2 linked regions of the Callithrix jacchus genome follow. The protein of the gene in region 1 purifies or fractionates together with the protein of each later gene. This does not show direct contact. Links are inferred from orthologs where the notes say so. Each region holds a gene or a part of one and is shown on either strand. Other genes may lie near its edges.

Region 1 (4,165 bases):
TACTGGGATTACAGGTGTGGGCTACCGTGCCCAATCATCTTCCTTTCTTAAAATTGACTGAATAAACAGACATGCTATAGCAGGGTAAATGGCACCAAATGAATTTGTGACTTACTTAGATTCGTAAAGACTGTTACTGCACTGAAAGAGAATACCCAATCTCAAATTCTTCATTCTCTGTTTCTTTTATTAAAGTGTCATTCTGGTGACCCTCTTCTAGTTGACCTTTTGTAGAACAGCAGGCAAGGTCAATAACGAAAGTACTAAAATTAAAGAAAAAATTGGCTTCTCCCTATGGAAACTGATTCAAGATTTAATAACGTGTGGTGCCCCTAAAAGCTGCAACTATTACATGATCATCTCCAAATCCACTTTAACTCAACTAGGAGGCCATTATCAAAACATAACTCACTGGTACAAAGCAGAGATTAAGTAGCTAAGAATGTTCCTAGGCTGAAGTCTAACTGAGAGTAAAAGGGATGATCTCACAATGTCTCTTTATGTTTTGTAAATCACATTATTCAATAAATCTGACACAAGTGTGAGGATAAGGATTAAGAGTCAACCCTCGTCTGGGCGCAATGGCTCACGCCTGTAGTCCCAGAACTTTGGGAAGCCAAGGCGGTCAGGCCACAAGGATTGAGACCATCCTGATCAACATGGTGAAACCCAGTCTCTACTAAAAATACAAAAATTAGTTGGGCGTGGTCGTCCGCACCTGTAGTCTCAGCTACTCCGGAGGTTGCGGCAGAAGAATCGCTTAAACCCAGGAAGCAGAGGTTGCAGTGAGCCGAGATCATGCCACTGCACTCCAGCCTGGGTGACAGATCAAAACTAGGTCTCAAAAAAAAAAAAAAAAAAAAAAATCATCCCTCTAAGTAGAAAAACAAAAATAAGCAGTACTAGTTTTCTGACTTAAGTCTAGTAACTTTCACTTACTTCTAAAGTCCAATAAAACTTCAAGGTCTCTTCTTTATATTTAGAATTTTAACACTGGGCAGAAATCCAAGAACCTTCTTCAGGCTCAATAAAATTTTGTTAATGATACCCTTGAACTTTAATTAGGTGTTTTTGAAAACACTAATGCAAAATAAAGTTTTAGTAAATTTGACTAGTTTCTGAAGAAGTATTCCCTCTAAATGGGGCACTTTAAAAGCCTAAAATACAATTAAGTTAGTATCCATTTTTATTTGGATTTGTTATGGTATTTTAGGCAAATATACAAAATAACTATTTTTTAAGCAAAGGAGTAAGATTGGAGGGACAAGTCACAATACTTCTGAAATAGCAAGACTTGACTGCAAATAATATCCATGTCCCTAAGGCTACCTGTTAAAGTCTACGCATTCCATCACTCTTTAGTTGTAACCACAAAGGCTGGTTTTACACCTAGGATATACAAGAAGCATCAGATTAAAAGCATCAAATATCAGACTATACAAGTTTGCCATAGATAAGCATAGCAAAAAGAAAAGCGTGATACAAAGTTAGAGGTTCCAAGGGGTTTAAACACACCCACAAAATCCAATTTTTGCTCACACTGTGCTTCAACCTAAAACTGATGGGTAATCACAAATCCTGACTTACCACTGACTTATTCCCTACCTCCACCCTTTTTATCTCCTGAATTTCTCAACTGATCTCATCACTTCTTAAGGGTCTTTGCAACTCTCCACGGCCTTTCCTTTCCCAGAAAATGATACAAAGCACCTGGCCTCCACATTTTACATTCCCACAATTTAGCTTCAAATTTTGTTTTGCTTACTCGTTAGACATTCATTTTGCCCCCAATCTCCTGTACCCGTTTCCCTGACCAATCTTCCTCTTACTTTTCATCACCTTGCCCTTCCTACAGTATTTAGCTTCTCCTTTCAAAGTAGAGTATTTATCCTTCTCCCTGACATTTGTAATTCTAGTTTACTGTAAACATGCTCTTCCCCTCCCAGGGACTGTCATTATAGCCCTACGTTTTCATTCCCAGTCGTTATCTTCTTTAGTGAGGCCTCTTCCCTTCCAGAGTTTGTCAACATTAGTTTGGCCAAGCTGGGATTCCACCTTCAAGGCAAAGGATATTCTCCCTGCTCATTCTACAAAAGTATAAGCCTGTCACCAGCCCTAGCGTTCCCTCCTCCACCCTTAAATCCATCTATATCCAGCCCTGCCCGTTCCCCTCTACCCGTAAGATCTGTCTGCTCTCTATCCCGCACTCCCCCTCCCCAGTCCTGAATGCACCTCCTCCCCGGACCTTACTCGTACCCTGACACAGGAAAGGCCCAGGCAGCGGCCTCACGGCGCTTCTCCACAGAGCTCCCTCCGCTCTTCAGTAACTGTCCCCACGCCCCTTTCCCTCCAGGGCCCCGTGCGCAGCCAGGAGCCCCTTCCTCGATTAAGCTCCCGCTGTCACTTGGCCTCTCATCCACAAGATGGCGGAGCTGCTGCCCCCACCCCTGGGTTCGCTCCGCAATCCCCAGCCTCCTTTCCGGAGCTCCCATCCCGTCCCTCCAGCCGCCCTGCCGCCAGCCTCGGCCCAGGGTCCCGCTGCCCGGTCCGGCAGTAGGCTGGCGGCCCAGGCCCGAGCTCCAAAACGCCGCCAACGCCACCGCCTCCGCCATTCCCCCGCCTGCCCCGTCTCCTCACCATAAACTTGAGTGCTTTCTCTTGCAGCACCGCCTCGGCTGAGTCCATAATCGCCGAGGCCACTGGGTCCGCTCTCCGCCGGGGCCGCCCCTTTGGTGCCAGGCCGCAGCCAACGCAGCGCCCGGATCCCGCCTCCTCTTCCTTCCCCCCGCCCTCTCTTACCTCTCAGGCACAGGCTGATGGGGCCAAGAAGAATCAGCTTCTCAGTGGGCAGGCGAAAGCCCACTGGCTCACGGGATTAGTAGTTCTAAAGCTTCCCGAAGCAAAAACTGAGGCTATGCCGTGAACCGCAACTCCCACAGTTCACTGCGGTAGCGTTGCGGTTGCCGACGAGTCAGATTTAGATAACTTGCCCTCAAGCAGAGGAAATCGGCTGATGGGAATTGTAGTTTACAGCCTCTAAGGACGAAAAGGGGAGGGGCATGGGTGTCTCCGTGGTTACCGAGGGACGCCAGTAGCGGTTTGCCGGGCGTTTGATATCAAGATGGCGACCAACGCCTCACCTGTAGCCTAAATGCTAAGTAAAACTGTGAGAAGAATCAGGGGTCCTAGAGCCTGCCTAACTGTGGTTTTAGAGAGCTGAACGTCCCCAGATTTCATATATCTGGCGTCTGCGGAAGATTTGCGACCCAGAGGAGCTGGGCCAGTGGGCACCTGGCAGCAGCTCAAACACCAATGCAGCATTTCAAGGTCCTCCTAAGCTATTGCCACCCACACGTCTCCCGAGGAATCTTTTCTCTCCCACAGCATTTCAGGGCAAATAGAACTCGGCTCAGGAAATTCTTGGCGTTTAGAGCTCAAAAAGCACATAGCTTGTTATTGCTAACCCTGGGATGTAAGCCCTGCACTAAGGGTCAAACAGGTTCTTACAAAAGCCCTTTAACAGTGGAATATAATGGCCTCCAGCAAATAAAGCATATAAGTATTTTCTTTGGCCTTAAAAGATATAATATGAGTTTATTTTGGAAATTGGGTCTACCTTAGGAGGAAAAACTCTAGGGTTTAGTTGAAAGTGATTTAGGGCTGGGCACGGTGGCTCATGCCTGTAATCCCAGCACTTTGGGAGGCCGAGGCGAGTGGATCACCTGAGGTAAGGTGTTTGACACCAGCCTGGCCAACTCGGAGAAATGCCAGTCTCTACTAAAAATATAAAAATTAGCTGGGCTTGGTGGCACGCTCCTGTAATCCAAGCTACTCAGGAGGCTGAGGCATGAGAATTGCTTGAACTTGGGAGGCGGAAGTTGCTGTGTGTCGAGATCATGCCACTGCACTCCAGCCTGGGTGACAGAGCGAGACTCTGTCAAAAGAAAGAAAAAGAAAAAGAAAAGGGAGTTAGATTGTCACAGTCTTGACCAAAATATCTTAATTTATAAAATTAATGAACTAAGAAAATACTTTTTCACTTATGGGAAAAATCTGCATTTTAAACTATTTTATTCATTCATTCACCTCACAAATAGTAAGCCAAGAAATGGGGATTCATCACTACTTGGATGACAAAAATCTCAGACTTCACCACTATACCATT
Region 2 (4,131 bases), on another chromosome or scaffold:
ACACTCATTAACTTTGAAAAACAACTTTTAAAAAAACCAGAGGGGGGAGGGGTGTTGGTTTGGAGAGTGGAAGGGGACAGAATATTAACCCTGAACTGAAACCACTTTTTGGTGGCGGATGTTCTATTAAAAGAGCGAGGAAAGCCAAGGTTATTCCAGAGGCCGCTCCAAAGCCTCGCTGGTGCTTTCCAGTGCCGAAGCTGCGAGCGCAATTAACCCCTGCCTGCCAGCCCTACAGCTTAGGGCCGCCCCGGGAGGGGACTTCGGGGACTGAACATGGGGATGCGGGGCTGGGCGTCGGACCGGGCTCCAGGGACGCTGGGGAGGGAGTGAAAGGGGAAGAGGGAGTAATTAGCATGAACCAGAGTGTGACCCCGGCTGCTAGAAAGCAGTAGAGGAAGCAAGGAGTGGAAATCCACGGCAAAGCAGTGAAGAGGGTATGGACCAGGGCAACGTAGGTTTCAAGGTTAGACTTAAAGAACGTACGCAGTTTGGGGCACAGAAATTCCACCCGTGCACCTCAAGAAGCAGGCAGGAGTGGCTGGTTTAATGGGCCACCTCGAACTTGGGAGGAATAAGGTGAAACCAAAAATTTGATGCAAAAGAAAAAAAATCCCTGATGAAACTAAACTGTTTTCCCCTTTTAAGGAATAAAAATGCCAAACGACCATACACCCACTAAGACAGCTGGCCATCTGTGCAAACTTGAATTGTTTTGTTCCCTTGGGCTTCCATAACGACGTCTAGGTTTTTCCTGCTAGAGCTGACCCCTAAAATTCCCCTGAGGAAATCCTACCTCTAGCTCATTTGAGCTAAGAAAAGCTCAGAGCACCAGAATGGGAATGATTAAAAATGGAATACTCGGTAATGGCAAGTTTGTAGCCAAAAATAATATCTAAAGGGGGAAATATGCCTACTATAATTTGGTTATAAAAGCAAAGATCATCCAACTGTGTACATGTAAAAGAATGTCTAGCGTACTAATGCTAACCCTACAATGAAATAGTGCAATTTCTATTTTCAATGTGATATAACCATCTCTCTTTTTTGAAATGAAATGATATCACCAAAAAAAGTATATAATGTAACTTCCCAACTAGGTTATTTGAATCAAAAAATAAACATGCGTTTAACTGTGAACGTATAGCTATGGATCTGTCAGGAGAAAGGTAATTTGATAATGAGTGGAGTTTGTATCACTTCCGAAGTGAAAAATGCTAACTGAATGAATTACATTTAACCCAATTGTTATTGGGCATACCATACTGTCAACACAGTGTTTATGTAGGATTCAGCATTACTACGAATTTTCTCACAAGACATACATGCAATTTTGAATCATAATAGGTAAATTTTTGACATTTCAACTATTTCCTTGAGCAGCAAACCGATATTAAACTTTTATTTGAAATATATACAATACAGAATAGTTTCCTGGTAAGTCTTTGAATTTTCTAAATGCAGTTTCTTTTCCTAACTCTGTCTACAATTCTTCCTAGATATCCGGATGCAAGGAAATCTGGCTAGGCTATAAAGTATCTTCTTTAGGCTTAATTTTTTTTGTGGCAAATCCATTATATTTTCTCAAAATGTATCAGATAAAGAGCGTGGGAAAAAATGAAGCAGAGGGTGAATATGAATGGCAAACTGCATTTTCAACTGTCAAAAATCTTGGGACAATGCGGGAGCGAGTGATCATTCTCTGACCCCCAAAAAAGAGGGGGCTCCTAGGGGACCATTTCTCTAGGAATCCATCTCTACCGTCCGCGTGAACGCTTCTGGAGCCCCTCCTGGGGGAGAGTGCGGTTCAAGGGAGGACAGTGTCACTGAAAAGATCTACACACGTTTTTCTTACCAAACAGTTTGGAGAGGGCACAAGTCCACCCCGGAGCCGCGTCCACTGGGCCCCGCGCCACCCTGCCCGCCCCCGCCGCCGCGTACCCGGCTCCAGTTCCCACGCGGCCGCCCGCCCCAGCCCGGATCCGGCTCCCCCCTGGCGCGGCCCCGGGGCCCCGGCCCTCCGCCCAGAGCGCGGCCCAGCAGCGCCGCAGCCACCGCCACCGCCACGCGGAGATCCCGGAGGTTCCTCCCCGCCGGCCGCCGGGTCACGCCGCCCGTCCCTCCCCTCGGTCCTCCGCCCTCCGCCCTCCACCCTCCACCCTCCACCCTCCACCCTCGGCGCGCTCCGGGCTTTCCCGTCCACCGGCCGAATCCCCTCCTCCTCGGGCGACAAAACCTTCTGGGCGACCCGGCGACAAAACCTTCTCCGCACACCCTGCCAACTCTGCCCCACGCCCAGGCTCTTCCCAAGTCAGGCGCCAGACAAAAGAACCCGGAGAAAAACTTACCCGAACTGCACCGCAAAAGTCTGATGCAAAGCTTCCTGGGTTTAACTTTTAATTTTAAAAACAACAAAAGCAGAAACCAAAAGCCTCCTAGGTTGGAAGTGGGCGTGAGAGGAAATGCTAGAGGGAGGCGCTTCATTCCCCGGGCTGCCGGTGCCCCCCTTTCTGGCCCCTGCCGGGGGCTTTGATGTTATCTAGTGCACCGCCTCCATCGCTTTCTACCTTGGGCTCGGCGCCGAGAAGATACACTGATCTTCCGCACTCCACCTGCAGGTTCCGAGAAAGGCGAGAAGGTAACCGCGGCTAAGGACCCACACTCCTTAGCCCCGCAGCGAGAGAGGAGCATTTGCACGGGCTTCCTGTTGCTACCTGGGCTGAAATGAACAATCCACCCCTCCAGTGATCCTGGAGACTTGCGCCATGTGGTCTTTCCTGCTAGACGCACAGAGGGAGGCCTCGTACTTTAGATTCGTTTTCCTCCACCCGAGCACAAACTTGTAAGATGGTGGTGGAGTATGTTTCCTGCGGTTTTGTTCGGGTTTTAGATCTCAGTTTGGAAGATAAATATTATTTTCCTTCTGAGACAGTCCTGCAACCTTGAAAAGACAAGAATAAATCTCTAAAGGCAACACATTCTATAACATGCTTTACATTCATCATAAATTCCCTTACGGGTCAGAGTATCCGCACACCCTCCCCATTACATTATGGAAAGCGTGTAACTTGATTTTCTCTTGCTTGGACACTAGCAGATACTGAATATAGTTTGTCATTAGGTTAGCAGTCTCGGGACCATCACTAACAAAGTACTACAAAGGATTTTTTTTTTAACAGATTGGTAGTAAAGGATGGCGCTGTCTAGCAATCAGCCTTACCTGTGACTACACTTTACACCAACAGAATCCTGCGTTCAGGCCTTGCCCTCTGGGAGATTACAAATTAATGGAGACAGGATAAACACAAGGAAAAATACCTAGAGGGAAAAAAGATATAAGAGGCTTATAAACAGAGCCAATTAAAGTTATACAGTTATTTACATGATCGCAGAGAAGCTTCTGCTTGAGTAGAGGACAGGGTGAGCAGAGTTCCATCCTGAGCGTGAGTTCTCAGTGGGATATTGAAGGAGAGAAAGTTCACAATTTGGCAGTGGTGTATGAACAGCATTACAGAGGAGGGAAATCTCTTGAAGGTGAGAGCAAGTGAACTGTGTGTGATGGTTTTTCCACCTAGAGCAGAAAGTCTCAGCAAATGAGATACAAGTAACACCCACACCAGGACACTTTCAAGAGTGAAAGGGAGAGTATTAATAATTATACTCGGATGAGAGATGTACACCTGGATTGCCCCGGGCCAATGGGAAGGGTGGGTTCTCTAGTAATGAGCTAGGACGACAGAATGGGCAGACAACAGGCAACCAGCAAAGAGCCTACTCAGTCATCATTTGGAAGGAATTAAGCCATGATATTACGAACAGTTGGTAGCCATTTGGAGACATCTGGCCTGAGAATGGTCTTTTTAAGGAAAGTGATTGTTACTGATGGATTTAGGGTCCATACGGAGGCTGGTTAGCAGTAGTAGTAATGGTAGTGGTCGTGACGAACAGTTATTGAGAGCTTACGACTTGCCAGGTTTTTCTGTATGAACTTATTTAATCCCCACCATAAACCCACACTGTAGATGAAGAAACAGAGGCTTAGAAATGCTGCATCGTTTCCTGCAAGCCACAAAGCTGGTAAATGATAAAGCCCTGATGGGGGAATCCAGAAAATAGTCAGATGCTCAAAGT

What was found.
Region 2: the proteins of BTRC (region 1) and HIVEP1 purify together in Homo sapiens (affinity purification with mass spectrometry; 5 studies listed by BioGRID and IntAct, counting the BioPlex papers as one, with this or other methods). This does not show direct contact. The link is inferred for Callithrix jacchus from reciprocal best matches to the Homo sapiens genes BTRC and HIVEP1.

The regions. Positions count from the first base shown.
Region 1 is NC_133513.1:94,307,477-94,311,641, reverse strand, and holds the start of BTRC (F-box/WD repeat-containing protein 1A), read right to left. Parts: upstream 2,805-4,165; 5' UTR 2,686-2,804; coding exon 2,638-2,685; intron 1-2,637. UniProt on the Homo sapiens protein: Substrate recognition component of a SCF (SKP1-CUL1-F-box protein) E3 ubiquitin-protein ligase complex which mediates the ubiquitination and subsequent proteasomal degradation of target proteins. Recognizes and binds to phosphorylated target proteins.
Region 2 is NC_133505.1:18,641,904-18,646,034, forward strand, and holds the start of HIVEP1 (zinc finger protein 40), read right to left. Parts: upstream 2,804-4,131; 5' UTR 2,715-2,803; exon of another isoform or gene 2,613-2,714; 5' UTR 2,349-2,612; intron 1-2,348.